Linked DNA regions of Canis lupus familiaris. The protein of the gene in region 3 binds, or shares a complex with, the protein of the main gene of each other region. Links are inferred from orthologs where the notes say so. Each region holds a gene or a part of one and is shown on either strand. Other genes may lie near its edges. The genes, in order: MAPKAP1, SOS1, HRAS, RASGRP4 and RASA1.

What was found.
Region 1: the proteins of HRAS (region 3) and MAPKAP1 are in contact, whole or in part, in a crystal structure (PDB 7VV8), measured with the Homo sapiens proteins. The link is inferred for Canis lupus familiaris from reciprocal best matches to the Homo sapiens genes HRAS and MAPKAP1. Residues at the interface, in NP_001123914.1 of Homo sapiens: Gln25, Asp33, Ile36, Glu37, Asp38, Ser39, Tyr40, Arg41, Leu56, Glu63, Tyr64, Met67; in NP_001006618.1 of Homo sapiens: Glu277, Ser278, Phe280, Ala286, His287, Gly288, Phe289, Ser290, Leu291, Ile292, Gln293, Arg311, Arg312, Lys313.
Region 2: the proteins of HRAS (region 3) and SOS1 are in contact, whole or in part, in a crystal structure (PDB 4NYM), measured with the Homo sapiens proteins. The link is inferred for Canis lupus familiaris from reciprocal best matches to the Homo sapiens genes HRAS and SOS1. Residues at the interface, in NP_001123914.1 of Homo sapiens: Gly13, Gly15, Ser17, Ala18, Thr20, Ile21, Gln25, Asp30, Glu31, Tyr32, Asp33, Pro34, Thr35, Glu37, Tyr40, Arg41, Asp54, Ile55, Leu56, Asp57, Thr58, Ala59, Gly60, Gln61, Glu63, Tyr64, Ser65, Ala66, Met67, Arg68; in NP_005624.2 of Homo sapiens: Glu589, Lys602, Trp809, Thr810, Lys814, Leu822, Met824, Ile825, Arg826, Thr828, Thr829, Thr832, Glu836, Asn869, Leu872, Val875, Ser876, Asn879, Ser880, Ser881, Tyr884, Ser908, Asp910, His911, Tyr912, Lys913, Leu916, Phe929, Phe930, Gly931.
Region 4: the proteins of HRAS (region 3) and RASGRP4 are in contact, whole or in part, in a crystal structure (PDB 6AXG), measured with the Homo sapiens proteins. The link is inferred for Canis lupus familiaris from reciprocal best matches to the Homo sapiens genes HRAS and RASGRP4. Residues at the interface, in NP_001123914.1 of Homo sapiens: Glu3, Gly12, Gly13, Gly15, Ser17, Ala18, Ile21, Asp33, Pro34, Thr35, Ile36, Glu37, Tyr40, Arg41, Asp54, Leu56, Asp57, Ala59, Gly60, Gln61, Glu63, Tyr64, Ser65, Ala66, Met67, Arg68, Asp69, Gln70, Arg73, Thr74; in NP_733749.1 of Homo sapiens: Tyr228, Gly232, Val234, Val244, Asn248, Ser251, Asn288, Met291, Ala292, Gly295, Gly296, Cys298, His299, Ser300, Leu327, Ala328, Ser329, His330, Asn331, Asn332, Tyr333, Ala334, Arg337, Leu351, Gly352, Val353, Leu355, Lys356, Val359, Ser360.
Region 5: the proteins of HRAS (region 3) and RASA1 are in contact, whole or in part, in a crystal structure (PDB 8BOS), measured with the Homo sapiens proteins. The link is inferred for Canis lupus familiaris from reciprocal best matches to the Homo sapiens genes HRAS and RASA1. Residues at the interface, in NP_001123914.1 of Homo sapiens: Gly12, Gly13, Ser17, Ile21, Gln25, Asp30, Glu31, Tyr32, Asp33, Pro34, Thr35, Ile36, Glu37, Asp38, Ser39, Tyr40, Arg41, Gln61, Glu62, Glu63, Tyr64, Ala66, Met67, Lys88, Lys117; in NP_002881.1 of Homo sapiens: Gly746, Arg749, Glu783, Thr785, Thr786, Arg789, Ala790, Thr791, Glu799, Lys803, Ser833, Arg894, Gly898, Phe901, Leu902, Arg903, Cys906, Pro907, Leu910, Asn911, Met914, Arg928, Ile931, Ala934, Lys935, Gln938, Asn939, Asn942, Val944, Ala948.

Annotation. Positions count from the first base shown.
Region 1 is NC_049230.1:57,559,149-57,564,773, forward strand, and holds part of MAPKAP1 (target of rapamycin complex 2 subunit MAPKAP1), read left to right. Parts: intron 1-3,994; 5' UTR 3,995-4,063; coding exon 4,064-4,322; intron 4,323-5,625. UniProt on the Homo sapiens protein: Component of the mechanistic target of rapamycin complex 2 (mTORC2), which transduces signals from growth factors to pathways involved in proliferation, cytoskeletal organization, lipogenesis and anabolic output.
Region 2 is NC_049238.1:31,193,093-31,198,717, forward strand, and holds part of SOS1 (son of sevenless homolog 1), read right to left. Parts: intron 5,420-5,625; coding exon 5,338-5,419; intron 4,548-5,337; coding exon 4,425-4,547; intron 4,177-4,424; coding exon 4,073-4,176; intron 3,130-4,072; coding exon 2,907-3,129; intron 1,794-2,906; coding exon 1,674-1,793; intron 1-1,673.
Region 3 is NC_049239.1:25,992,842-25,998,565, forward strand, and holds HRAS (GTPase HRas), read right to left. Parts: upstream 3,098-5,724; 5' UTR 3,043-3,097; coding exon 2,932-3,042; intron 2,754-2,931; coding exon 2,575-2,753; intron 2,452-2,574; coding exon 2,292-2,451; intron 2,205-2,291; exon of another isoform or gene 2,197-2,204; coding exon of another isoform or gene 2,134-2,196; exon of another isoform or gene 1,657-2,133; coding exon 1,537-1,656; 3' UTR 1,224-1,536; downstream 1-1,223. UniProt on the Homo sapiens protein: Involved in the activation of Ras protein signal transduction. Ras proteins bind GDP/GTP and possess intrinsic GTPase activity.
Region 4 is NC_049222.1:115,413,232-115,419,502, reverse strand, and holds the start of RASGRP4 (RAS guanyl-releasing protein 4), read right to left. Parts: upstream 4,056-6,271; 5' UTR 3,915-4,055; coding exon 3,892-3,914; intron 925-3,891; coding exon 740-924; intron 320-739; coding exon 214-319; intron 87-213; coding exon 24-86; intron 1-23.
Region 5 is NC_049224.1:21,306,334-21,312,517, forward strand, and holds the start of RASA1 (ras GTPase-activating protein 1), read right to left. Parts: upstream 4,217-6,184; coding exon 3,747-4,216; intron 1-3,746. UniProt on the Homo sapiens protein: Inhibitory regulator of the Ras-cyclic AMP pathway. Stimulates the GTPase of normal but not oncogenic Ras p21; this stimulation may be further increased in the presence of NCK1.

The DNA.
Region 1 (5,625 bases), on a different chromosome or scaffold from region 3:
TAACAATCCTGAGATAAATATTTTTGCATAGTTATCTCTTAAAGGCAAATCCTACAAGTGGGTTTGCCCAAAAGGTACTCATTACACTTTGATAGATGATATATTACCCTCTAAAAAGTCTCAATTTTCATTCCTTTTTACAGTGCATGAGAGGGCTTATTTCTCTGAACCCTGCCAACATTAGGTTTTGAAAATCTTTGATTTTTGCACAACTGATCAGAGAAAATAACTTGTTTTCATCTGTGTTTGGAATATCTTTGTCTTAGAAATCAAATCTACCTTCAAATGGTAGTTTGCTGCTCTTAAAGTGATTTAAAACATACTCTTTTGGTTCTAAAAGTAGTGTTAGGATAAGTTGATAGTGTCCCAAGGTGACAGTTTTGAAAGGCATTAGTGAAGACAAGCTCTTATATCTGTATTAATAGAAAAAAAGCAATCCTTTCTTTATAATCACACTACACATGACATGCTCATAGATGACTTATCTCTACAACAAAATTGTATAATCTTTGGAAGACAGACAGCAACCCTTACTGAATTTCTGCCATGTATAAGATCCTTTGTTGCCAGAAGGGATGTGGCAATGTGGCTCCTGTCCTTGTGGAACTTATAGTCTGAATCTTCAAGTACATGTCATGGGAGGTGAGGGCTTATTTCCTAGGGCAGACTTCTTGAAATTCCCTATCAGAATCAGTATTGAATAGTATTTGTTGAGTGAGTGATACAGATTCCAAATTGTATGAAGTCGTAGTATACCAATAAAGAAGATATCTGTTCTTTTTTGGGGTATTTTGGGGCCTCTGTCCCACAAGGATAAAGTTAGAGACTTGCTGTGTGCTCTCAGAAGTATTTTCCAATGACTCTTTACTTCCTAAGAGGTGATGGAGCAGATCCATTTTCCGGAAAACAAACAAACAAACAAACAAACAAACACATGCACATTCTGTTGAGTGTACTTAAGTATACTTTTATTTCTTTGCCCTTTGCCATTTGACTTGTTGGTGCTAGAACACCCATTAAATGTGTAGCTTCTCATTGAAGCCCTTGTTTTTCACAAGAGAAAACTATTCAATATGAAATTGAAAGTACCTGCCCCTCTGCTAGCGACTAGTTGCCTTACTCTCGTGGGAGAGACACTTACTGTGATTGCTATGAGGATGTTTGCAGTTTTGGCCATCTGTGATGCTATGATTTTGTTAGAAAACAAATGCTCTCATTTATAAGTAAATCCATGATTGAATACATCTCTTTATGATTTTATAAGTAATTCTTATTTTTACAAGTGAAATTTAAATGCTCCTCTTTAATTCTGTAATGTTTTTCTGATTAATACACTGAAAATGGTAGGCTGACATTAACATTTCTGAGACTTGGAGGAATCTCATTATATTAAATACACTAGGACTGTGTTAGGGTATAAACTTTTTGATTCAGAGATACCTTTCCTTGGCATTTCCCATTAGCCTCTGTGTAAAATAACTACTCAGTAAATATATTTGAAGGAAAAAAATGAAGATTAGTGTAATTAATTTGATTAATTATACTTTCTCTTAATCTTGGTATCTTTAAGATCTACCGAGTGATGTCATTAGAATGTTACTAGACAAAAGTTTTTAAAACCTTTGTTGGTTATAATGCTTTATTAACTGGATTTCCCCCATATTTCATTTTTAGAAGAGACAAATAACAAGAAAATCTGGTGTTGTAGGCCTTTCTAAAAATAAATACCTCTAGGACTGTTCTGGGAACATATTCAATCCAGTTTTCATGTTCCTTGCATCTCATAATGATTTTGGAGGAGGAGGAAGAAGTTGACCCTGGTGACCTGCAGAGTCCTCTTTCAGAAAGGAACCACACATTTATTTTATGTGCTGTGCACTTACTAAAGAAGGATGAATATTGATATATTTTAGGATTATTTTAAACAAGAATTGAAAGCCGAAGTTATTATTTTTTACCATCATCATTGTTATTATTAAAAGCAGCTAATAATTATGTGCCTGGTGCTCTTTTGAGCACTTTCCCTGCATTATCTCTTATACATCTTCTCATTCCTGGAGTCCCCATTTTATTAATGAAGAAAGAAAATAGGCTCAAATAAGTTAAGGTTGTTTTGACCAAGATCACATAGCCAGCTAGTGGTAGGGGCACGATTTGAACCCAGTTCTGCCTGCAGTTCTTTCTCTTAACCAGTGTCCTCTAATACAGTAGTCCTCGATCATTTGCAGGGGGTGCTTTCCAGGAACCACAGTGATGCCTGAAATCATCGATGGTACCAAATCCTATATGTACTATTGTTTTTCCTGCACATACATACCTATGATAAAGTTTAATTTTCGAATTAGACACAGTAAGATATTAATAGCGATAATAAAACAGAACAATTACAACTATACTGAATTATGTGACTGTGGTTTCCCTCCTCAGAATATCTTAATGTACTGTGCTCAGCCTTCTTGTGATGATGTGAAATGATAAAATGCCTATGTGATGAGTCAAAAGTAAGGTGAATGACCTAGGAATTGTGACATTGCATTAGGCTACTTTTGACTGTCAGGGTACATCAGAAGGAGGATCATCTGCTGTTGGACTGCAGTTGACCATGAGTAACAACAAACTGCAGAAAATGAAACCACAGATGAGAAGAGACTACCATGTTTTCTTTGTTGAGTATTCCCATTTAACTAAGGAGGTACCATTTTATTCCCAGAATATACATCATTTTAGTTTCAACAAGATTCAGGAAGCAGTTCTTACAATGAGATTTCTAAAGTAAGAAATTAATTTGGTAGCAGAGAAGTTTGATTAGTAAAGTTTATTTTAAAAGCACAATACTGGGATCCCTGGGTGGCGCAGCGGTTTGGCGCCTGCCTTTGGCCCAGGGCGTGATCCTGGAGACCCAGGATCGAATCCCATGTCGGGCTCCCGGTGCATGGAGCCTGCTTCTCCCTCTGCCTGTGTCTCTGCCTCTCTCTCTCTCTCTCTCTCTGTGACTATCATAAATAAATAAAAATTAAAAATAAATAAATAAATAAAAGCACAATACTGGGGCGACTGGACGGCTCAGTCAGTTAAGTGTGATTTCTGCTCAGGTCATGGTTTCAGGGTTGTGAGATTGAGCTCCATGTCAGGTTCTGTGCTTTGTGTGCAGCTTCCTTGGGATTCTGTCTCTCCCTCTGCCCCTCCCTTTATCCCTCCCTCTCTCCCAAAAATAAAATAAAATAAAAGCACAATACTCTGTTAAACCAGAAGAAAGGAAAATGTGTTTATTGAACAAAATTACTTTGGTGGTTCTTTTTTTTTTTTTTTTTAATTCCTAGTAACTCAAAGTATTGTCTGTGTTCTTTTAGTTGCCTCACAACCATATGACAAAGACAAAGATGAAATGTTAACAAAAGGAATGCCTGGGGATCCCTGGGTTGCGCAGCGGTTTGGCGCCTGCCTTTGGCCCAGGGTGTGATCCTGGAGACCCGGGATCGAATCCCACGTCGGGCTCCCGGTGCATGGAGCCTGCTTCTCCCTCTGCCTGTGTGTCTGCCTCTCTCTCTCTTTGTGTGTCTCTCATGAATAAAATAAAATCTTAAAAAAAAAAAGTAAACAAAAGAAAGGACAGTTTCATACTTTCACACATAATTTGAGGAAAATACGACTTGTTCCCCTGTGACCTTATAGAGTAATGAGGAGACTGCATTGGAATGAAGGAGAAAGAAAGGAAAATTTATTGTTTTAACAGTAATTATGTGCTTTGAGTGGTCTAAGGAGTCACTGTTAATTTGTTTTGCAAAAGAGGAAGCCACCCTCATTGACTAGAGCTGTAGCCCCTAGTGTTTATAAGGATTTCCTTTCAGCTTAGGCTTAATCCTTGTAAGCTCCTAGGTACAGGGATAAATGTTGATTTTCAAGGTAGCATTGTACCACATTGAATTTGTTTGAAAAATGATTCAGTCATCTTCTTTTTTATTCTTAAATATTGCTGTGTACATCATGTTTCTAGGGAGGTGAGCACGTGAAACAATATGAAGAGGAGAAAATAGCCTTTTAAGGAAATTGGCCCACAGAAAGGATGGCCTTCTTGGACAATCCAACTATCATTCTAGCTCATATCCGACAGTCACATGTGACCAGTGATGACACAGGAATGTGTGAAATGGTTCTCATTGATCATGATGTTGACCTAGAGAAGATTCATCCTCCTTCAATGCCTGGAGACAGTGGGTCAGAAATTCAGGGAAGCAATGGTGAGACTCAGGGCTATGTATATGCCCAGTCAGTCGATATTACCTCAAGTTGGGACTTTGGTATTAGAAGACGCTCAAATACAGGTAAACATTGCCTTTTAGTCATGTCTTCTGAACTTTAAATCAGTCAATAATCTTACAGAATAATGCATATTGTTGGAATAGGTTTAATGGGGAAAGTGTCTATTAATTGGAACATGCATGTATTACAGTGAGTCTAAACAACTCCCATTTCTGTGACTGAATGGAGAGTGCCTCTGGAATGGCGTTATTAAAGGAAGTAGAAACTGAATAGATAAAAAAAGGTGGCTATCAGAGGCATGTTGGATGTTCTGTTTCTAAAAAGTCCTCACGTAGAAAGAGAAGTAGACTTGTTTTGAGTATTTTCATAGAGCAACATTAGTCCCAGTGGGTAGACTACCTGGTAGCCGGTTTCAGGTTGACATAATAAAGAACCTTTAATACAGAGAGCTGACTAGCCAAGGAATGATGCTGCTGGAGCCATTTTTTGGCCTTGGAGGGATTGTGGGAGGGTGGGGGGAGGATTGGAGGTAAATAGCTGAATATTTGTTAGGGCTGATTTTAATAGCAATCCCCCTGTTTTTGATATATTATCTTTATTTTCTTAAATTGGTCTCTACCCTTTGATCTTTGTGGCTTGAAAATGCTATTCTTTGGTACATACATATTCAATCATTAGCTTTTAAAAACTTATCAATGCCTATTTTCCAGCTTATGTGTTTTGGAAATCTTTCAAGGGGAATGTGATGAACCAAGGCCTTTACTTAGATAAGTTATTTAGAATCTATAATGTAGTTCTGATATGACAGGGTGTTCTAGGAGATGATTTTTATTAGGTAATCAGAAAATATAATCTCCACTAATCAGTAGGAGTAACCTGCTAACTCCCAGGAAAAGTAATGGTAGGAGATGTCGTAGATCATAGAAAATATTTACATGTTTATTTTCGTGGTCAAAATGTAAAATGTACTTAAAGAAGTACTGCAGGATACAATATACAGTGCAAGGCATGTTAAGGTTTTGGTTCGGAATTCAGCATTCTGTGACATCTCCAAAGAATAATTTGCTCTCATGATGAAAATAATTAATAGCATTTCCCAGTAGCTCAAAGAACTTTTATCAAAATAGGATTTGAGTGAAGGTTTGAATATAATTTAGAACCATTGATTCTCAGTTCTCTAGCTGAAACTGACTTCCTTTGCAAGTTATTGAGGTGGTATCTTATATGACAGGTTAAATGGATTTCAGAAGGAGAATGCTGCTAAATTGAGAGCTTTCTGATTGTATTACTTTGGCTGTACCCTTCACATTTATTAATTGCAATTGAATGTATTTTCCTTCAATGGAATTTGGTTAGATATAGTGA
Region 2 (5,625 bases), on a different chromosome or scaffold from region 3:
TAAGCAATAACAGTAACAAGCTCTGGGGGTCAGGGGAAGGAACTACCCGTAAGTTGCTTTAATGTATTATCTAAAATGTCAAGTTTCCAACAAAAAACGAGGAGGCATGCAAAGCAACAAGAAAGTACAGCAGTCCCCACTCATCTGCAGTTTTATTTTCCCCAGTCTCAGTTACCCATAGCCAACCACATCCTACAGATGATCCTCCTTTTGAAGTATCAGCAGGTCATTAGTATCCTAAGGCTATGTCACATTACGTGAGCATTCACACCACTTAATCTCATCACATAGGCATTTTATCACCTCACATCATCACAAGAAGGGTGACTGTAGTACAGGAAGATATTTTGAGAGAGAGATCACGTTCACATACTTTTATTGTAGTATACTGTTATAACTGTTCTATGTTATTAGTTATTGTTGTTAATCTTTTACTGTGCTTAATTTATAAATTAAACTTTATCATAGGTATGTATGTATAGAAACAAGACATAGTATATATAGGGTTCAGTACTATCCATGCTTTCAAGCATCCATTGGGGGCCCTGGAATGTATTCTCCATGGATAAGGGGGAATTACTGGATGACCCATTCATAAGGTAAAAAGCAGGGAATAGTAATTGCCTGTGAGAAGGACCAGATGTCAGATTTAACAGAAAATGATTTCAAAGTAGCCATTACGAATATGTTTACAGAACTAATGGAAAGAAAGCGGGATTTAAAAAGTACAGGAAGATAGGATGACAGAGTGCAGCACAGAATATCATAAAAGACACAGCAGTAAAAAAAAAAAAAAAAAAAAAAAAAAAAAGACACAGCAGTAATGAAAAGAACCAAATGGAAACTCTAAAATTAAAAAATACAATAGTTAAAAAACTTACTAAAGAGGCTCAAAAGTACATTTGAACTGGCAGAAGAAATAATTAACTTGAAGATAGAGCTATCGTTCAAAAATGAAGGCAAAATAAAGACTTCCCCAGATAAACAAAAGCTGAGAGAATCTGTTGCTAGCAAACCCAGCAGAGGAAGACTACTAAACAAAGTTCTTCAGGGTGAAAGCAAGGAACCCCAGATGGTAACACGAATCCACAAAAACAGAGTGCTAGTGACAGTAATTAAGTGATTACATAAGATGACACAAATGCATATTTTTTCTCATTGCTTCTGTGAACTGATTTAAAAAGCAAACTGTATAAAATAATATGTATGTAATGTATCGTTGGACTTAAAAGGCATCTATATATAATACATTGCCAATAACTACATAGAGGAGGTGGGCCACAAACGGTAAAGCAACAATTGTTACAATGTATTATTATCAGAGTTGCCTCATTATTATATGTAACACATAGTACAATAATACCACAAAAAAGGAAGACAGAATAGGGCTACCTAGGAGGAACACCTCTATGTACCCTGGAATCAAGCTAGCACAAGTCTGCAGCTGATTCCGAGAAGATAAAGCATCCACTAAACCCATCCTCAAGAAACCATTAAATGAAATAAAAATACATTAAAAAAAAAGAGGAAAAAATACGTTAGAAAACTATTCTCCGTGCAAAACAAAGCAGGAATAGAGGAATAAAAAAGGACATGAGGCATACAAAAGCAGAACTGCATTTCAGGTTCTAAGAGCGGGCTGCTATGAAGCGTATGATGGCAGCACTACTTACTTCTCAAACCACAGAGTGAGATTAGTGGTGTGCCGGATCATTTTTAGAAGATTGGGAGAATTAATTTCTTTGTCTTCTTTTGTCCACACACTTCCAACTAATTCTGATGGCTGTACAGCTCTAAAATCATCAAGACACAATAATTCTACATGATACCTTTGCCTCTAGCACGCTGCTTTATTAAGTAAATGAGGTAAATAAAATCAAACACCCACATAAAACTTCTTTGAACACCAACAGAAAGGTTTATGAAAACAAGGCATAACAAAATCTTACAATTATGGGTATTTTTCTATTTCTATGTGTGTATCTATATACTTATATCATCACTTTATAGTAGCATTCTGCTTTGGGCAACATTGGGATTTTTCATAACATCTTTCCCAGCACTTACAAATACTATTTAATGAATTAGGGTGACAGTGTAATTTGGGATAGTTCTTTTAAATAATGGTATCTGTTATAATAATCAGTTCACTGAGGATATAGTAACCACTGTAATTCATAAATCTTTTTTCTTCCCCTAAAGGAGGCAGGGGAACATACCACAGAAAGCTCCTGCGAAATAAATAAAGTAGATTCTAATACATTAGGTTTTTGGGAAAGTGATGATTTTTGGAGCAGACAGAGATCTATAAATTAAGTTCCTTTTATTCATGTAGTTATTAAAAAATAGTTTGTTATTCTAAATTCTAAATAGTCCCCATTTAAAATGAGAAATACACTGAGACAGTAGTTACATTAATGCAGAAAAACTAAAAGAAGCTATGACTGGCCATAACTTAAGTTCACAACTACAAGGGCAGCAGCTAACTTACTGAATGTAAGTTACTTTGTGCTGGGCAATGTGCTAAGCACTTTATATACTGACTATTTCCAATCTAACAATGGCCCCAGGAATAGGTACTGTCATTAGCCCCATTTTAATCTTGAGGAAGCTCAGGGACACAAGAAGGCTCAAGTTGCCCAAGGATACCAAGCCGGTGATTGGTAAAGCCAGGATCTGCACTTAGCTTTACCAGCGGGAGTGACAACAGACACAACCTGTAAATCCAGGCAGAACAGGAGAGAAAGAAGGGGAGGCTGTCTATCCATCAAGGCTTTACTACTACACACTTCAGGCACTAGCTCATTTATGTCTTTTAACATTCCTATAAGGCAGAAACCAGTATTTCATTAAAAAAAATTAACTCCTTTGAAATGATTTTTCAGCTTGAATGTCAAATTACATACCGATACAGATCTGATTCAAGTAAAGTGAGTTGTCGAGCAATTTCTATTGGGTGTAAGGTGAGCAGGTCAAAAGTCTCTATGTGCCCAGGCCTGCTTATATGCCACTCGACTGTGGGAGGTGAACTCTGAAATGTAATATTATGACCTGGTCCATTGTCTCTTGCAATTTTTTTCCTTTGGATTATTTTAGTGATGGATTCAACCCATTTTTTCATTGCTTTACCTGAAATACATTATATTTTAAATGACATTTAAATACTTTTCACTCAATTATTTTATTCTTTTAAAATATTTTAAAATTAGACAGGTGATACTTAAATATATCTTTGCTATTACAAAGTTCAATGATCAAAATTTAAAAAAAGGAAGTTCCCCTTTACCATTTCCCTGTTCCCTATCCTAATCTCATGCTCCTTCCCATGGCTAACCACCATTAACAGTCTCGTATACATTCTTCCACGTCCTTTCTAAATAAAATTAGAAAGTAACTCATTCATAGAGATTTCTCACCTCCACTCTTCCAAACTTCAGTTCAAAATGTTATTTTATAATCCTCCATAAAAAAGACATGAGATTTATAAGAATAAACTATACACATTCACTGTTAACCTAATTAACATTGCATTTTATACACCAAACAGTGCCAGGGGCTTGATTCCTTCATGTTAGAGTTTCTGATGTGACTCTGTTTTGTACTATGCATGAAAGTACTCTCATTTAACTCTTTATTTTCTGATTCTCATTTAGAGTGCACTATGGAAATTAGAAACAAGTTTGTCTAGGACATTCTTAGACCTACACAATCATAGAATCTTTGAAACTCGAGGGGATATGATGACACACCAGTTCCTAATTGTCTTCTGGTACACAGACCTTCAGATAAGTGGAAAAATAGCATAAATTGAGACTTTTTTTTTAGCCAGTTCAAAAATAATCAGTAAGTTGATTTACTAAATGAAAATACACCAGGTCAACAGGGTGACTATTGAGGAATTTGTGAATCAAAACGTTTGATGAAAATTTTCAACTTTTTCAAGTGCTTATGCTGCCACTATTATAAACAACTTTTAACAACACTGAACAATAATGACATCAGTTGATAGTCACCATAGTGGTACTTTTACATGTAAAACTAGGCACTTAAAAAACAAAACAAAACACCATACCTCTCACTGTTCCAATAAATTCTTCCATTCGCTGCAAAAGATCTGCATCTCTTTCAAAATCATAGAAGTGGTGCTCCACCCAATGCCGACATACATTTAATACTCTATGGCATTAACACAGAAGAATAACTGAATTACATGGGAACTCAGACATAAATGTTTATCATGATGAATTGTGTAAATTAAAAGAGTAATTCTTTCCAAATTAAATAATTTTATCAGTGGCTTACACTTTTGCTTCCCTCATTTTACTTGTTACCTCCTCCTGCTTGGAAAGATCCTTATTTACTTCAATTCTGAAACCAAAGCTCAAGACAGACTTCACTACTTCAGTTATTTCATTACTGCTTACCGCAGTTGTACAGGCTGTATGTATTCTTTTCTAAACCTTTTTAGTTCTGCACTCAAGGGCTGATCTCCATTCTCTATAGCTATGCGATCAGCTTCTGTTGGCTCAGGCTCTGGAATTTCAAACCTAACATAAAACAGAACAAACTAATGAAAATACCAATAATATCAAATTATACAAACTGAAAACTACAAACCTTTTCACTAGTCAGCACAATAAAGAGAGCAATGTGAAAATTAACTACAGACATACATACATTATCAGTGAAAACAAGTAAGGCTTCTATAAAGGTTTAAAGATCTTACTTTAATTTTTAAAAAATAAATTAATATTTGCCAATATTAAAAAAATGAGAAACATAATAAAGAATACATGCAGAGTCTAAAAATAAATGTGATTATAAAGTTATGGGACTGCTGTTCATTTTTGGCTTGTGTAATCACTCTAAATCAGCTAACATAATACTTTTTAAGGGTAATGCTTAAAAAGTTGACTGTTCCTTGGGTGGCTGAAACACTTTTCTTGATTATGGTATTTGTTCACTGATAAGCTCCATTTTCTTCAACATGTGATATATTTGAAAAATTCTGTTTAGAACATCTAAATCATCAAAATTTAAGTTTCCAGAGCCTAAATTATACATTTTTATACAGTTCTTTAACTTGACTAATTCCATAAATTTGAAATTTCCCATACTGGGTTTCCATGTAAAAAAGAATGCTCATTTTTGTATTTCAATGATCAAAACTAAAAGATTATTATAATATAAATGGTCATCTAAGAGATGTTAGTTCTTAAAAAAGTACTCATGAACTATAATTTAAAGCTCATATAATTTATTTCTGAGAAACATGTAGGATCTTTTAGCTCAATCTCTTTAAAAAAAAAAGAATTTAAATATTTTACATTAACAGACCTTTCTATTATAAGACTCAGTAGTTCTTGAGGTTTACAAAAGGATCTGTATGTTGTAAGAAATGTCCGAACAAAATTGGGATCTAAGAAGAAAAAGGAAAATTATCTTATTAAAATCTTTGATTCAGAATGATTAAAGCTATTATCAACATTTTCAAAAGACAATGAACAATTTTAAAATTCCCAAAATGTTCTGACCACATAGAATGCTTTGGACTTTATAACAAATTGCTAGCCTAAGCCCTTACTAAAATCAGTGGCAAAACCAGTTATTAAGATTCTGTATCAA
Region 3 (5,724 bases):
AACGGGGTCCCCTTCCCTTCGGCACCTGCCTGGGCCACCCCAGAGGCCCCGCGACGGACCAGGCCCTGGAGCACCCCCGGGACTCCCATCACGGGGTCCCCCCAGCCCCCTAGGGACGACGCTGTCGGGCCCAGGACACCCTTCCTGCCCCGCGGCCACTGCAGCTCATGCCTCTCGCTGGGCAGTGACGGGCACAGCCAGGGCAGAGCCAGGGCGGCGCTGAGCCCGCTGCCCCGAGGCCCCGCACAGGCCCGGGACCCTCTGCCCTCTGCGTCCACAGGGCAGCTCAATGCTCGCGGGCAGAGCGTGGTGGTGAGTGCGGGGGCCCAGAGGCTCTGGCCCGCCGTCACCGTGCCCTGCCTCATCTTGCTGTCCCTCCCGGAGGGCGGCACCCCCCGCACAGGACACCAACCCCTGACCCAGAGGGACCTGGGCTGGCCTGGCCCCAGGCTCTGTGGGGGCAGGGGCGACTCGAGAACTGCCCCCCAGGCCCAGCACTAATGGGATCCAGTGCTCCGGGGCCCTGGCCAGGCCTGCGTTCTGGCCCCGGGCTGAGCGAGCCCTCTCAGAGCCGGATGTGGCCTCCTGGGCCCTGGGCGTGCCCCACAGATCCAGGTCACTGACCTAGGGCAGCCCTGGGGATCCCGGGACACCCCAGGGCAGGGCAGCAGGGGCAGGCCCGTGGGCCCCACCCGCACCCACACCAGGAGGCAGGCTCCTCCACGTGCTGGGGCTCCAGCAGTCAGTCACCCGGCCCCAGTGGGCCCGAGGCCGGGGTCCAGCTGCCCTGCGGGGACCTAGAGCAGGAGCCCATGGGCCGCAGGTCCAGGCCAGCTCTGCTGTCCCCAGAACCGCCTCTCAACACCCCAACCTCAGGACACACACCCCCACCCGGAGTCCGCACAGGCTCCAAAGTGGGCGACTCCAGCACCCGTACCCCCGTGGGATTCCCGCTTTCCTCTAAGGACAGGAAGGTCTCCCAGGGGAAGGCGCACACCCTCGGCTCTGAGCCCGTTTGCTGTTGCAAGTTCAATAAGGTGTTGTGTGAAAATGCACGGCCGGCTCGTTTCTGCGTCTCCCGGAGCTCTGTGCACGGGGTGTGGAGACACCCCCAGAGAGGAGGAGGGGGGACCTCCCGGCCCCGACCAGCCCCTGCAGGGGCGCCGCCAGGCACACACAGCTGACGTCCCCACGTGCCTTGCAGGTGCGGCCATACGCCAGGGTCAAGACCATCAAATAATTTACTGCGACTCAGCCTTTGCCCCGCGGGCAAGGACGGGACTGGGGGAGAGTGACAGCCGGGGGGGCCCGTGGCCTCAGTTCACGACAGTCTGTGCAAAGCGCCCTGGGAGGTCCGTGCTCCCCCTGTCCAGGGGGCCTGGGCTGGCCGGGCCCCGGGGGCGCTTCCTTCCTTCCTCGCCCTCCTCCTTCCTCCTTCCGCGCCTCCTCCCAGCTTCCGGCACCTCCTCGCCCCGAGCCTGTGCGCCTGGGGCACAGAGGACCAGCGGGGCTGCCAACGTGGCCCTGGAGGGGACGTCAGGACAGCAGGCACTTGCAGCTCATGCAGCCTGGGCCTCCCTCGTCGGGCGGGCTCAGCTTGCGCACCTTGTGCTGTCGAATCTCTCGCACCAGCGTGTAGAAGGCATCCTCCACGCCCTGGGAAGACGGGGCTGGCTGAGCGTGCGGCTCGGCCCGGGGGCCTGGCAGCGCAGGGGACCGAGGGACCCCAGCGTCAAGCTCATGCATCATCCCAGCTCCCCCTGGCCTCTCCCCACCCCGCCCCCACACAGGCAGCCCCAGGGCTCCCCCCATCAGGCGGCTTGGCCCTCAGGAGCTCCCCCACAGGGCAGCCCCGAGGTCTGGCTCCCAGCTCTAACATCCAGGGTCCCGCTCCTGTCTGACCTACCACCCTGGTCCCCCACAGCCCATTAAAGAGGGCAGGGCCTACACGGGCCCATGGGGCTTTCTGCGGGCAGGGGCCAGGGCCCCAGGGTCACCACTCGGCCTGGCTCAGGGCAGCTCTCTCTGGGGACCTCTGCCTCTCCCTGGAGCTGTGTCAGCCCAAACCCTGGGCCCCGGCCTCCCTCGCTGCCCTGCCGTCCGGGGACACTTACAGCGCTAGGGGCCGCTGGGTCACGGGGGTCCCGGAGGGTCCCAGAGGGTCCCGGAGCTGGAGCCAGAGCCAGACCGGCTGCCCTGTGTCGGGGGAGAGGGGGCAATAAGCACTGCTCCCTGGCAGGGGCGGGGCGGGGCGGGTCCCCAGCTAGCTGCGGGGTGGGGAGCCGGCTCACCTGGCGCGTCTTGGCTGACGTCTCGATGTAGGGGATGCCGTAGCTGCGGGCGAGGTCCTGCGCCTGCCGGGACTCCACGGTGCGAGCAGCCAGGTCACACTTGTTCCCCACCAGCACCATGGGCACGTCGTCAGAGTCCTTCACTCGCTTGATCTGCTCCCTACAAGAAGGAAGGTGGGAGCCAGTCGGTAGGCTGCAGGCACGGCTGCATCCGAGACCCTGACAGAGAAACGCGATGAGAGGCAGAGGAACAGGTGGCTCTGAGGGCCGGCCGGAGGCTCACCTGTACTGGTGGATGTCCTCAAAGGACTTGGTGTTGTTGATGGCAAATACACAGAGAAAGCCCTCCCCCGTGCGCATGTACTGGTCCCGCATGGCGCTGTACTCCTCCTGGCCCGCTGTGTCCAGGATGTCCAGCAGGCACGTCTCCCCGTCGATGACCACTTGCTTCCGATAGGAGTCCTGCGGCAGGCCAGTGCTTCAGAACGCCCAGCCCCACACCTCCGAGGACGGGGCCACCCAGCCACCAGCCCCTCCTAGGTCCCCAGGTGCCACCCCCAGGTCCCACGAGCAGGGGCCGCCCTCCTGCGGAGCCCACAGCAGACATGCCCACAGCAGGCTCAGGGCTGGGCGAGCTCACCTCGATGGTGGGGTCGTACTCATCCACGAAGTGGTTCTGGATGAGCTGGATGGTCAGGGCGCTCTTGCCCACGCCTCCAGCGCCCACCACCACCAGCTTATACTCCGTCATGGCTCCTCACGGGACGCAGCACAGGACGCCAACGAGGTCTCCTGTCCCACCTGCTGAGGAAGCTGCTCTCAGCCCTGAGCCAGCCCCGTGGGGCAGACCACCCCGGCCCCGACCCGGTCCCCAGGCCCCACACAACCAGGGAACCGGGCGCAGCCGCCCACCTGTGGCACCTCCAGCGGGGGGGGCGGCGGGGGGGGGGGGGTAGGCACCTCGCCGGCGCTCATGGCTGCGAGAGAGCAGGGAGAGCTGACAGCTGAGAGCATCTCCCAACCACGCACCCAAATTAGAAGTTGCTGGGTAGGCAGAAAGCGTGCACTGGAGGGACCCGGAGGCCCTGCAGGCTGAGATTACCGCCCCTCCCCGCAGAAACAGGTCCTGCCACAGCGGAGTGCAGCAGCGTGCCCGGGCAGGCCAGAGCCCCGCCGCGCCTCGCTGCACCGGACTAGCATCTGCGGAGCGCCCGCGGCCGCCAGCTGCTGCTCCGGGGGCGAGGCCCGGGCCCTCCTGTCCCGGGGGGAGCCCCAGGCCCGCGGCCGCTCGAGCTTCGCAGGAGAGCAGCGGCGGGCTGCGGGGATGGCGGCCCCGGGAGCAGGCCGGCGGGGTAGGCGCGGGGACGGCGCTGGGCCGCGGCCTCCGGCCCGGCTCCCGGTCTGGGAGGTTTCGGGACGCGGTGCCCGGGGCTCCGGTGCGAACGCCCGGCTCGCCCGCTGTGCATCGCGGAGGCCGCCCGCCGCCCGGGCCTCGGGGGCGCGCCTGGCGACCTGGGGGCCCCGCACGCGGCCCGCGGAGGAGAGGGCGCGGACGCCGCCGCCCGGGGCGCCCCCGCACCCCGCACCTCGCACCCCGCACCCGCCGCAGCGCCCGCCCGCGGCTCACCTGCGCCCCCGCGCGCCCCGCCGCCGCCGCCGCCTCCACCGCCCGGCGCCGCAGCCCCGGCCGCCCCCGCCCCGCCCCGCCGCCCGCCGCCCCCGCCGCACTCACCGCTCACTGGCGCGACTGCCCCCGGGGCCGGGGCCGGGGCCGGGGCGGGGGCGGGGAAGGGGGCCGGGGCCGGGGCGCGCGGCTCGCCCAGCGCATGGGCTCCGTCCGCGGAGGGTGCGGCTCGGGCTGCGGGCTGCGGGCGCGGGCGGGCGGACACTCGGGGGGGAGGGCGCGCACGCCCCGCCCCGCGCCCGTCCGTCACGCAGGCGCGGCTCGCCATTGGCCGCGGCCGTCGGGCCACGCCCCCGCCCCGCCCCGGCCCGCCCCGCCCCGCGCCGGTTGGCCGGCCCGCCCGCCCGTCACGGGCCGCGGCCGGGCGGGGCTTCCGGGAAGCGGCGCGGAGGGCGGTGCCCGGCCCCGGAGGCCCTCGTGGGCCGCGGCCTGGGGGGGCTGGGCTGCGCCCGCGGGCGCTCGGCGGGAGCGCGAGAGGCGCGGGCCGGGGCGGCGGCCTCCGCGGGGAGCTGCCCGACAGGACCGCGGGCGGCGGTGCACCGGGGCGGGGGCGCTGCAGACCGGCGGGAGCCCGTGTCCCGCGGTGGGGGGCTCCCTGCGCCGCGAGGCCCAGCGGAGGGGTCAGGCCGGGAGACGAGGCTCGAGGAGGGTCAGGGTCGGCGCGCCGGGCGGACGGCCGGGACGGGAGGCGGGCGCCGGGGCAGGCCGGGCCGCGCCCCGAGCTCTGGGGCCTCATGGCCGGGGCTCGGTGCCCTACACCCCCGTTCCCATCAGGTGGCTCCGGAACGGGCGCCTGGCACCTCGGCTTCGTCGTGCGCGCGGCACCCGGGGCGCCCAGGCCACAAGGGGCAGCGCGGCGCGGAGCATCGTTTGATCCCGCCCCAGGGGTCTCGCTGGGCCGCAGCCTCGCCCCTCTCCTCAGCCTCCCCCTGCAGGCCGGCCCGCCCAGCCCCCTAGCCCGGAGGCTCCGGCCCTGCAGACGCTTGCGCGGGGCCCAGTTAACGATGGGCCCTCTGCAAACCAGCCCGAAAGCTGCCCGAGGGCTGCGTGCCGACGGCTCCCCCATCCGGAGCGCGAACACGCACACCCCGCATCTTTTCCAGACTTTCAAAAAAGACGTGGTTTCGACATTTTATTTTAAATTTCAAAGTAGTGCATCAACACACCGTGCTTGTTTACAAAAAGGAAGAACGGTGCAGCCCGCAGGAGGCCCAGGCTGGCCCCGCTCTGGCGGCCCTGCCCGCCCTCCCGTCCTGCCCCCTCCGGTGCCGGCGCGCGCTGTTCTCGTGGAGCCCCTCCCACTGCAGGCCGTGACCTTGGCGGGCCCCTCGGGGGGGGGGGGGCTGCCCCGCCCGCACACATCGCCTACAGCACGTGCCGAGGCCGTGGCCGGTTGGCCGGCCCGTGCACTGCGCGGTGGCTAGGACAGAGCCCGGCGCCCGCTGACGCGCACAGACGCGGAGTCAAGGAGCGGCAGTGAAAGCGAGTGGCGGCGTCCCCCGAGAGCGCGGACACCCCAAACCCCTCCCGGTGTCCAGGTCTGCATTTCCCTCGTCTTCGGGGGCGCTTTCCTTTTGTTTTGGCATCGCCACCCTTAGAGGAGGGGGTCCCTCCCGCAGGGCCAGGGCCGGGAAAGGTGGGCGCTGGGCTCCGCCTGATAACCGCCTTCGCGGGCGCTGACACCCGGCCGGTCCGCGCTGGTACCCCGCCCGGTGGGGCCTCACCTCCGCCCCGGCTCCCTCCCAGCCC
Region 4 (6,271 bases), on a different chromosome or scaffold from region 3:
TGGGGGTCTCGGCCCCACCCTACCTGACCAGGTGACAGATCTGCAGCCGCCTCAGCTCCTGTGTGTCCCCTGTGGCCTCCTGGTACTTGAGTTCTGGTCAAGGCTCTGATATCCGGCATCCCAGACCTGCCTGTTCACCCTGTTCCCAACTCCCAGACTCTGGCATCTCTGTCCCCTACCCTCCACCCACTGCTCGTGGCCCTGGAAGGATATAAGGTCAGCAGACGGGCAGCGAGGTGGGCAGAAGGCAGCACCCAGCTGTGCATGGCCAGTACCATGTTGAGAATGTGGTCCCCACGGCGCAGGCTGCCAGCTGAGTCTGGAGGCGGGAGAAGGGGACTCTGTGTCAGAATGGCTCCTCGGCAAGGGACCGCACAGTCTCCAGAGCCAGTTGGATTGGCTGGCTCAAGCTCCAGCTCTACCTGCGTGAACTAGGGCAAGCAACTTGGCCTCCTTAGGGTGTCTCGGTTTCCTTGTCTGTACTGGGCAGAGACCAGCACAGCACCTGGCAAGTCATGTTGTAGATGGAAATAGCACCCCACCTCCTCCCCTCATCTCAGGAAAAAGAAATGCATGTTTCACTGCATCCGGAATAGTGATCGAGATTCATTCCACACACCCTTGCTACCATTTTATGCGCCTCCCCCCACCCCCCCAAAAAAACCCTGAGACCTAGACAGAGGTTGGCTGCTTTACCGCCTTAGGACTGGGGAGGCTGGCCAGGGAAGGGGACACTCACCGAAGGACTGGATGCATTTCTCCAGCAGCTCATCTTCGCTGCAGCCGCCCTCGTTCAGCATGCCCAGAGCCATGGAAGCCATGACCTTGCTGATTTCCCGGGGGCTGGGGCACGTCTTGTGGCGCCGGGCCTGTCGGGGCCGGCCCCGCCCTGCTGTCTTTCCTGGGCATTCCTGGTGGGACTTCCTGTGGGCACACCCCCCAGGGAGTCATGGGAACCCCTTCCTTCGAGCAGACCCCCAGAATTCTCTTTAACTCCCCAAACCCCAAGCATCATGGGAGAAAACCCCTGGAGTATTCCAGGTCATGGGAGCTTTCTACAGGTAAACTCAAAGGGTTACTCCTGCCCACTTCAGGGAATCAGGGGAAAAGACTCTCACCACCACCCTGAACCCCCAGGAAATCATGGAGAAGACCCCCAGAATTACTAAGGGAATCATAAGAACTCCTTCCTCCGGGCATCAACCCCATATTCCCCTTGACTGTATACTCCCAGGGCACTATGGAGAGACTTCCTGTTGGCAGGACCCTGGGATGACTCTTGGCCTCCCAGGGGATTATGGGAGAAGACCACCCCTCCACCCCTCCTACCTCCACCCCCTTCATTCCTGTCCTTCCCAGGGCCTGCCTTCAGGGAGACTCCTCAGAATTCCCTTTTTGCTCTCCAGTGCTGGTCCCCCAGCCCTCATGAAAGCAGCAGACCCCTGAGATCCCATCTGTCTCTCCTCCCTGAGCTAGACCCCCTACTAGGGTGACAGCCCCCTCCCCCAAGCCAGGACTTTGTCAGGATCCGAGTCTTAGCCACCAGCCTGGGTCCCTCGGTTTGGAGAGAAGACATGGGTGCAAAGTGGCCTCACCAGGGCGTTTCAGAGCTGGGCAGGGTCCCCGGGGTGAGGCAGCTTCAAGGAAAGTTTAAAAATAACCATCTGCTCTGTCTTGTGCCTCTCTGAGGCTCGTGTTCCAGTTGGGGAAAGGTGGAAACAGAGACAGACATGGTGGAGGAAGGAGGGAGAAGAATCCAGGCTGAATGGCCTTGGCTTCCGCGAGGGTTAGACCACGCGGGGTTAGAGAGGGTTATGTTGGCTGTGTGACTCTGTGCTGGTCACTTAATGCCGCTGGGCTTCAGTTTCCTCATATGAAAAATGGGAGTCATCCTTGGACCTTCTCCAGGAATTTATCATGAACATTCAATGCCTTGCTTCTCAAAAGTGCCAAATACGGGACTTGGTTTGGGGCGCCTGGGTGGCTCAGTCATGTAAGCATCTGCCTTGGGCTCAGGTCATGATCTCAGGGTCCTGGGATCGAGCCCTGTGCTGGGCTCCCTGCTAAATGGGGAGTCTGCTTCTCCCTCTGCCCCTTCCCCTACTTGTGTGCTCTCTCTCTCTCTCTCTCCCTCTCAGATAAATAACATATATTTTTTAAAGGGACTTAGTTTGCTCAGGCTGTTAAGTGGCGGGAGATGGGAAAGTTGAACTTGACATCCAGAGAAAGTGATGAGGTGGACTAGAAGCTGGGCCTGGGGTACGGAGCGAAAGCAGAAATGGGGAGACCCTCATCACAAGGGCACTAACACGGCCTTGGTGCATCCTAAGGGTTCAGGAAATCAGTCCTGAATGTTCTTGAGCTGAAATTTACTGAGTATTGGGATCCCTGGGTGGCTCAGCGGTTTAGGGTCTGCCTTTGGCCCAGGGTGTGAAACTGGAGTCCTGGGATCGAATCCCACATTGAGCTCCTTGCATGGAGCCTGCTTCTCCCTCTGCTTCTCTCTCTTTCTGGGTCTCTCATGAATAAATAAATAAAATCTTAAAAAAAAAGAAATTTACTGAGTACTGAATGTGTTCCGGGCAGAGGCTTGAGCCCCCGTCTCCATCAGTGGTTCTCAAAGCGTGGTCCAACCCATGCCACCGGCACCACCTGGAAGCCTGATAGAAATACAAATTCTCGGGTCTCACGAAGAGACCTCCAGAATCAGAAGCCTTGGAGGTAGGCCCAGCAATCTGTGTATGTGTTTTAAAGATTTTTTTACCTTTAAGTACTCTCTATCCCCAATGTGGGGCTCGAACTCACCACCTTGGTATCAAGAGTCACATGCTCCACCGACTGAGCCAGCCAGGCGCCCGACAATCTGTTACAAGCCCTCTAGGTGGTTCTGATGTGTGCCCACTAGACCGGCTCGCTGAAGACTTCTGAGCCTCTCTGAGGAGGGACTAGGATTATTCTATTAACAGAGGAAGATGGGGCGCCTGGATGGCTCAGCCGTTGGGCATCTGCCTTCACATCCAGGGCATGATCCTGGGGTTCTGGGATTGGGTCCCACATGGGGCTCCCTGCGTGAAGCCTGCTTCTCCTTCTGCCTGCGTCTCTGCCTCTCTCTGTGTGTGTCTCTCATGAATAAATAAAGAAAAGAAAAGAAAAAAGAAAAAAAGAAACAGAGGAAGAAACTGGGGCACAGAGCAATCAAGTGGCTTACCTAAGGTCACACAGCCAGAAAAAGAGACAGCCAAATCTCTACCACCAAACTGCTGGATATCATGGGGAGGGGACCCCTTTGCCCATCAGAGACACGCCAGAGGGAGGCGGCTGGAGGAGCTACCCAGGCTAGGGACCCAGCCACCGCCGCCCCGGGAGCACAGCAAAGCAGCTTGTCCAGGCGCTAGGAAGCCCGGGCCAGAGGCCGCCAGGCCCTCACCTGTGACTGTCCGCTTGCTCTCTGTAGTGCCGGGAGCAGCCAGGAGGGGTTTAAGGAGCAGGGGAGCCGCCTGGCCCTGCGTCACACTCCCCTCCCCCGGGGCAGGGCCCTGCAGGAGCCTGGAGTTTCCAGCCCGGGAGCAGGGGGCAGCAGCAAGGGAGCAGCGCTGATGGGGAACGGGGAAGGCCCCGGGGAGGACGGAGACACCCCATCTAGGGGGCGAGGACGAGCGGGGCGGGGCAGAGGGGATACGAGCTGCTCGAACTGCAAAGGCAGATGCTCCAACAAGCAGCCCCAGCAGCTCCTCAGTCCCCGAAGTATATGGGTCACCTGGTGCCCCTGCTCGTGCGGCTGCCCCCGGCCCCGGGGCGCCCCCGGCTTCCCTCGTCCTCCCCAGCCTTCCCAGGCAGCGGGGGCCCAGCGGCTGAGGGCGCTCCCGCTCTCCTTGGGGAGGGTCCTCTCACCTCTTGCTGTCTTTCCTGTTCATGCTTCCTGGTGCGGGGGAGGGGGTCTTGCAGGAGTCTGGCTCTGTTCCTCCCCCTTCCCAATGCTCCAGCTTCTTAGCCCCTTGGGAGCTGGGGCCTCCTCGGTGCTTGGGAAGGAAAGAGGAACTGCCCCTCCCCACCCAGCCCCAGGCCAGGGGGAAGGAAGAGGCTGGGGAGAGACCAAAGGTCCCCCCTCCCCCACATGGGGATCCCTTCGGGCTGAGGTTTCCGGTGCTGCCGGCCCCCACCCCCAGGCGCCCAGCGGGCTCTCTCTCTATCTCCCCCATCTTTCTGTCTCTAGACCCGTGATTCTCTGTTCTGCACTGCTGTTCTTCAACAGAGCTGGTTGTTTTGTTTTTTAAGTCTCCCTGTTGTGACACATTTAGGTAAAAACACATACTCAGAAAGTCTGTATTTCTGTAGGGATGTATTCATGTATATAACACACAAAGGCTCGAATGGGAAGGCCCAAGACCTAAGACTTTGTACATTTCTCCTTCTTTTTCTTTTTCTTTTTTTGAGATTTTATTTATTTATTCATGAGAGACACAGAGAGAGAGGCAGAGACATAGGCAGAGGGAGAAGCAGACCCCCGGGATCACGACCTGAGCCAAAGGCAGACGCTCAACCACTGAGCCACCCAGGCGTTGTCCCATCTTCTGTTTCTTTTACTCCTGGTTTCTTTTTAATGATGCCATGTGTATCCCAGGAAACATTTTCACTGTATTGTGTTCTGTTGTAACAAAGCCTTATGTAGTGCCTACTGCATACCACACAGCGTTCTAAGGGCTTTTAAAATATTAACTCGTTTCATCATCACATCGTTTCATCAATCTTAAAGACTGTTCTCTTATTATGAAAAACATTACAGAAGGAGGTAAACCCTCTGGGGGCCGCTTCCCCGGCCCACTGTCCCTCTTAGGCAGTGGTGACCAATATCGAATATTGTTGGGTTTCATCTGATCTGTTGGCTGTGCATTTGTTTAGGTATATAAATTCATGCTCATAGAAACACAGACTTTTCTTTTGAGTATGTGCGTTTTTTTCCTTTTACTTAAATGTGTCATGCTTGACCTTTTTAAATTGAAATACAAAAAAAGCACAAATCCTAAGTGTTTAGGCTGATGCTTGTGAAAAACGGAGCGTATCTATGTGGCAGTGACAAAATCGAGAAACAGAACGTTCCATCTTGCCCAAACCCCCTGCACAAGCCCCATCCCAGCCCTACCTCCCAAAAGTTACCACTAGCCTGATTTCTAGCAGGGTAGTTTTGCCCGGGGTTTGAGTTATTTATAAATAGAATAACTGATTGTGTCTGACTTCTTCCACTTAATAACCATGTTTTTTTTTTTAATTCTTTCATGTTTTATACTTGGTTGTAGTTATTACTTTTTTTGTTCCTGCATTGTGATTTACTGAGCAATTTTCCTGTAATGGACAGGTGAGTTGCTTCCAGCGTGGGGCTATTGTGAGTAAGACTGCTATGAACATTCTAGCACTTGTCTTTTGCTGAACATTCAAGTGTGCAATCCTGTAGGTGGATACCCAGGAGTAGAATAAATGGGTCATAGTAATTAATATGCTTCTGCCAAACCTGGTGCGTTAGTCAATTCAACCAGAATGCTCTTAGAAGTATGTTTTCACTCTCTCTTTTTTTTTCACCAAAAGAAGTCACCATGGATTTTTTTTTTTTTTACATGCCAGAACATTTCATGTCTAAATAGACAAGAACCGAGCTCATTTTGTTTAACTTTTCCATTACGTGGCATACCCCGAATAGTCTCAGGCCTTCTCACTCTTTCTCTTCCTCTCCCTGCCTCCTTATTTACCCCCTCCCTCACCCCATCAAGTTTCAAATGGTGCTGTCCATGATGTGGCTGTCAGCCCATCTCCCCAGCACCTGCATCATACGAGATGATGTAACATTGCTGGCTGAACCAAGCTTGGTTATGTCTCCATGTACCCTCAAGCCCCAACCCCTGGAGACCCAGAGAAGCCTCAGGGAGGGAGGTCAGAAAAGGCCCTGGTACAAAGTGCCACCCTCAGGGCCAGCAAGGATGGTTAATACCACCAATAACACCATCAACCACAAAGGAAAAGACTTCTGAAGCAAACCACAGAAACTCATAAGGAAGAAAAAGGATGCACTTGCTAATATCAGAATAAGGATTTCTTTTAACGAGGACACCGGGGGACGAATATCAGATGAGATGACAGAGCAAGAACAGGTATTTACAATATCTAAAATCAACGAGAGAATAATCTTTAGAAGGTGAAAGGCACAGCTGCAAACCAGCAAAAAAAAAAAAAAAAAAAAAGACACCAACTCTGATAGAAAAATGGGCCAAGAGAGTGTGAG
Region 5 (6,184 bases), on a different chromosome or scaffold from region 3:
AATGCAATTAGTAACAAAGCTAATGAACGCTACATGTCCTAACATTCACCTCTAATAATTATTTGGCTTAATTAAGAATGATTTTATTTTTGTAGAGATAGTCACATGTTTCTTAAGGAAAAGAAAGGTATCCTGTACATTATTTATTTCCTTTTCCTTCAAGTTTCAGGCTTGAGAAGCCTTCATCTTAGGTCCAGGGTATGATCTAACCTGCCAGGCAGATAATATCAAAAGGCAAACGAAGCCTAGTGAAGACTGCAGCAAACTAGAGCTCAGAACTCACCTAAAAGGGGCAACACTACTCAGCTCTAGCAATCCACAAACAGGAAGAGCAACCAGGTAGAGCCAAATCTTGTGATTTTGCAAGTGATGCTAGAAAGTGAGACTTCTTAAATGTGAAGTCTTCCTATTTTTAAATGGTGGCAACTAATTACTCAATGTTCCAAAATACACCAAGAGAAAGCAATATATATCTGTGGGTTGGATTCAGTCCAAGGGCATCCTGCTACTGCAGGCTCATAGTTTAAAATCTCTACATATAATTGAAGGTGGATTAAGAGGAAAACACTCCTTTTACCATCACCCTCACTTCTAAAGCAAAGAGAAAAAATAACCAGGAGCACTAAAAGCAAGTAAGTTCATAAAATTAGAAAGTGTCCCGTGACAAACTCCTTTAACTTTTTTCTCTCTTGAAAAAGCAATCTGCGGGAATTTTAGATACAGAAACTTCTACAGCATAAAAATACATAGGAAGAATGTTATGCTTTTTGAATTTTCCTCAAAACTTGTAAAAGGAAAATATTCAAATAAATAGTTAAAACTATATAAACTTTTCTGTCCTTAACCAAACTAATGAAAACCCTCGGTAATAAACATGAGACAATGACTCACCATGCACGCAGAAAAACAAGGTACAAAATACTAATGGCAGTAAGGTATTTGCATTTGTCCATCCATATATCGTCATTTAACGGCTCTTGTGACCAACAGCACCAAACTAGCTGGACACAGGGTTGAACTCCATGTGCAAGGGAACTCTACTCTAACAAACCACTGTGGACTCAAACCTGTGACCTGAACCCCTTAATATCATGCTATGCAATAACTAAGGTGACCACTCACTAGTAAACAAATATTCACTTAGTCGAAGAACATTTCTTCAGTACCTTACAAAAGATTTGGCATTAGTTAACCAAATCATTAAAGCCCTTTAAAAATAGGAATTCAGGGATCCCTGGGTGGCGCAGCGGTTTGGCGCCTGCCTTTGGCCCAGGGCGCGATCCTGGAGATGGGATCGAATCCCACGTCGGGCTCCCGGTGCATGGAGCCTGCTTCTCCCTCTGCCTCCCTCTGCCTGTGTCTCTGCCTCTCTCTCTCTCTCTCTCTCTCTCTGTGACTATCATAAATAAATAAAAATAAAAAAAAATTAAAAAAAGGAATTCATAGAAAAGATCTGAACTTCATCTCTAAACCTACTTAACCTGATGGAAACCTTTATGAAGTCATAATTCTTAATATAGCTAACCATGGTAGCTAGACCTCTGGAGTACGAACCATTGCCTAAAGTAACTATCAGTGAGGGAGTTCCCTGTACCAATAGAATCAGTAGGCAATTTAATGGCAATAAAATATTACTGTTACTTTGGCATACTATTTACTGAACACTTACTATGTGCCAAGCACTGTGCTGACTGAATACTTCAGGGTTCTCATTAAATCTTAAAAACGATGCTATGACGGAGGTACCATTATTATCCCCATTCTACAGATGGGGAAACTGACCTTTCCAAGATCACACAGTTATAAGTGGTAGAGTCAGGATTCCAACCCAAATCTTGTCTAACTTCAGAATTTGCACCCTTAAACACTACACTGTATTGCCTCCAGTGACTCTGGTTTGATATCTAAGATAAAGAAAAGAGGGTAATTTGTACTCCTCAGTGACAAATTTAAAAAACATACTTGAAATGGAGGATACTTTTCAGAACATTTACGATTCTCATATATACAGTCATGCAAGTATTATTTTTATTCCCAAATATATATTAATGATGATGGAAACCTCACACAATAGACTTCTAAAAATTTTTCCAAATACTCCTTCATGTTTATCCTGAAAAATCTAATGGGAACACTATATTTTCTGCCCAGTTTTGCTGTGAACCTAAAACCATTCCACAAAATCACTTTTTTAAAAAAATTTATAACTACAATATACAAATATGCCTAATATAACTCAGTTACAAACACTGGCAAAAGACTGCCTTCTTTCAGTATGAAAAGTTGCACTTTATTATAACCCTAGTGCTGAGCATGGAGTGATGTAGTGAGCGCTTAAATATTTACTGATTCTTTCAAAAAGGCTTGAAGGTGTGTAAACAGTGCTGTAAAATTCAAATTTTTCACACTCCCAGAACACCTTCAGAGGTCTATAAAACAAACACATAACATGGTAAGTTGGAATAAAGTTAGACAAAAAAATTAAACTCTTACTGAGCAGTATACCACGGCTGACACAAATCAGGCTACTTTTACCTTTCCCCCTTAAATATCAAAAGATGTAGCCCTAGGTTAAGAATGGATTATCACAGAATCTTTTTCTAATCATTTTCTAAGTCCTTTCTAAATCCTCCAAAGCTTATCCAAAACAAACAAATACTTTCAATTGTCCAGAGTGAATGTCATCATATGAACCAAATATTTTTTCCTCTGATACACCAAGGCTGTCGAAATTCTAAAGGTCAGATAATAACTGATGTGAAGGATCCGTAAGAACGGTTTTGCCATCTATTACCCCTTCCCAGTAACACTCTCCTCTCATCAAGGTCCACCTTTACAAACACACACCTATGTTCACTTATGGAGGGAACAAGGGGAAGGTACTCACCGTGTGAAAAAAGCCATTTGCCCTAAATGCCCTGCAATATACCGTCGCAACTGATTGCCAAATGGAACACTGCACTGGCCACCAACAAAGTATTGAAGTATTGACAATTTTACTTGAGAACTGTGCTTACAAAGCCTCAACTATAAAAAGATCAGGCTGTTATCAATAAATGGGAATTTCACGGCCTACGTCACAGACCCCGTAAGAGGAGAGAGACCCTTCACCACACCTGTAATTCGCAGAACTCCTTTCCTTTCTCGCCGACCCACATCTTCAGGAGAGACCCGAAGACTTTTCTGCATCGCTCTGCCTCCGAAAGGCTGGGGATGCACAGCACCACAAAGGCAAAGCCTTCTGACCGGTGCATGTTTAAAATGGTCATCAATACCATACTCCTTGGAATACTTGCATACCCAAAGCCTTATGACTAAGGATAACCTGACTTCAACAGGGAATGCACGCACAGGCTGAGAGAGACTCTACGGCCCGGGCAGCTGCAAGCTCAGCTGAGCCCCGGGGACGCAACCTCGGCTTGGAAAAGGCAGCACCGTATCCGGTTCCCGATGGATACACATGCCCCCCCTCCCCCCCCTCCCCCCCCACTCTCCATGCTTTCCTAGCTCAAAAACTTCACTTCTTCCCAGGGTCTAACCAGAAAGATGCAAAAGACGCCGAAGGCAGCGTGCACGCCCTCAGGGAAGAGGAGCGATCCAATCAAGTCCCGACGCACGCCAACCCCGAAGGCTCCAAACTTTTTCACCAACGGATCGCAACTGCAAGAAAAGCTGCAGGTCCCAGGGGTTCGCACTTGTGCCCAGGAGCCGGCGTCCCCGGGCCCGGGACGGCTGCGTGCACTTACTGGTTAGTCGGAGGCGCGGTCAGGGGGATGGCCACCTCTTCCTCCTCGTATTCGGGTCCATCCAGGGAGTCCCCTTCGTCCACGGTTCCCAGGCCGGCGGCGCCCAGGGCGGGCAGCTGAGGCGGCGGCGGCAGCGGGGGGAAGGCGCCGCCCGCCCCGAAGGTGTCCGCAGCCAGCGAAGCGGTGCCCTTGGCGAGGGCCGGCTCTCCCCCGGCCCCGGCGGCCCCGGCCCCGGCCCCTCCCCCTGACAGTCCGGCTCCCCCCACGGCTCCCGCCCCCGGCCCGGCGCCCAGCGCGGCCCCGCCGGCCTCCGGCAGCCCGGAGCAGGCGACGGCTGGCACGGGCAGCGCGCCGGGCATCCTCACCCTGCACGCCGCCGGGCAGGCGCTCGAGCCCGCGGCCGCGCCGCCCCCCGCCGCCCCCGCCGCCCCCGGGCCGCCCTCCTCGCTGCCGCCCTCGGCCGCCATCATGTTGAAGCCCGCTCCGCTCTCCGCTCTACGCTCGCCCGGGAGCCCCGGGGGCCAGCAGGCCCGGGCTCCCAGCCGCCCCACCCGGGCGCGTCCCCCTGGCGGCTCCCCGGGCGGAGGAAACGACAACAAAAGGACCGAGCCCGCCGCCGCGCCCCCTCCTCGGGCCACAGCCCAGGCTCCGGAGCGGCCCGGGTTACGGGAAGCCGAGTGGGCAAAAAACCTACCGCCGGCACCAACGCCAACCCGCACCTTCAGCCTGCACACCCACACTCACACACATGCACACTAGTGAGAAACTTCCTGGCCGCGCCAGAGAGGAAGGGAAGCACAGAGGAAGCGGCTGGCGCGGCTGCCGCCCGCTCGGCCGCCGCCGCCGCTTCACCACCCCAGTTCCGGCCACCCCCACCGCAGCCACCGCCGGTGCCGCTGCTGGGGCCCGGGCCGCGGCGGCCGCTGCATCCTCCGCGGGGCTGGAGGCGGGAGGGGTGGGGAGAGGAGAGGAGAGGAGAGGAGAGGAGAGGAGAGGAAGGGGCGGGGGGCGGGGAAGCGGGCCGAGCGGCTGCCGACCTGGAGCGCTCGCGGAAACCGACTAGAGAGAGAGGGAGAGAGAGAGAGAGAGAGAGAAAGGAAGGCGGGGCGCCGGAGGAGGAGCCGGCCGCGGGAGGAAGGGCGGGGAGCAGGGCCGGGGCGGCTTGTGCGCAGGCGCGGCCCTGGCGCGGGGGCGGCCGCGCTGCTGGGCCCGAGGGAAGGAAGCGGCGGGGGCGCGCGGTGCGGGGGACCGGCCGCGGGGGGGCGCCCGCCCCGTCCCCGCCCCGCCCCGCCCCGGGTCAGCGTGCGCCGCGGAGGGGCGGGCCGAGGGCTGGGGGGCCCGGCTCCGCGAACGCGGCGGGGACGCTGCAGGGGAGGGGGCAGCGCCGAGGAAGACGGCAAGGAAGATGCCGCGGAGCCGGGGCCCTGCTTCCTGCTGGTGGAAAATAACGCCTTTAGGAAGCGGCGCTGCCGGGGCCCGGGGCCGAGGGGGAGTGGCAGGGCTATCGATTTGTTTGATTTTCGTCGCATACTAGAAATCACTATATGACTATTCCGTGTTTTATTTTATTTTATTTTTAAGGTTTTATTTGTTCACTCATGAGAGACAGAGACACACAGGCAGAGGGAGCAGCAGGCTCCACGCAGGGAGCCCGATGCAGGACTCGATCCCAGGACCCCGGGGTCACGCCCTGGGCCGAAGGCAGGCGCTAAACCGCTGAGCCACCCGGGGATCCCCCACTACGTATTTAAAAAAAAAAAATTCAAACTACGTTCTGAAACTCAAGAGAAGTAAAGGAAATAGATAAGGGGAGCCTTACGGGGTGGGGGGGGCTAAGAATTTTGGTAGAAATAGTGGCAAATTCTGATTTCTAAGACCGTACACGTTTTGTTTTCCTCACTCACAGCACCATCTCTCCTCTCTGTCATGTCCCTCCCCGCCCCCCCCCCCCCACACACACACAATTACCTGTGCCATCTCAGGTCTTGGGCACTAATGACGTGTGTAGAGGAGCGGGTGCCACAAACAACACTTGTGTGCAGAAGGCAGGGGGCCTGTTCCAGGACGCATATGTGAAGCATGGAGAACCTTGAACAAGGCCAATGTCAACGTTGCAAAGTGCCAGAGACAATAATGCATAGTTTCAAAAATTATCAATAAACTGATGTCTCAACCTAAGTAAAGCCAGAAATGGGTTTTGTTTCCTCTTTTATGCTAGAATATGTATAAACGATTGCGTTCATTCATGTAAGTGGAAGAATCACTCCCATTATTTGAAATTACAGTACGGGCAATTTGCCCCTTGCATTCATATATTGTTCTTTTAAATTCTACCAGGAGAAAAAAATAAATAAATAAATAAATAAATTCTCCCAGGAGGAATCTCACATTGACTACCTTCGAATATTGGTCTTTGAGATCAATGTTTTCTCTGCTAA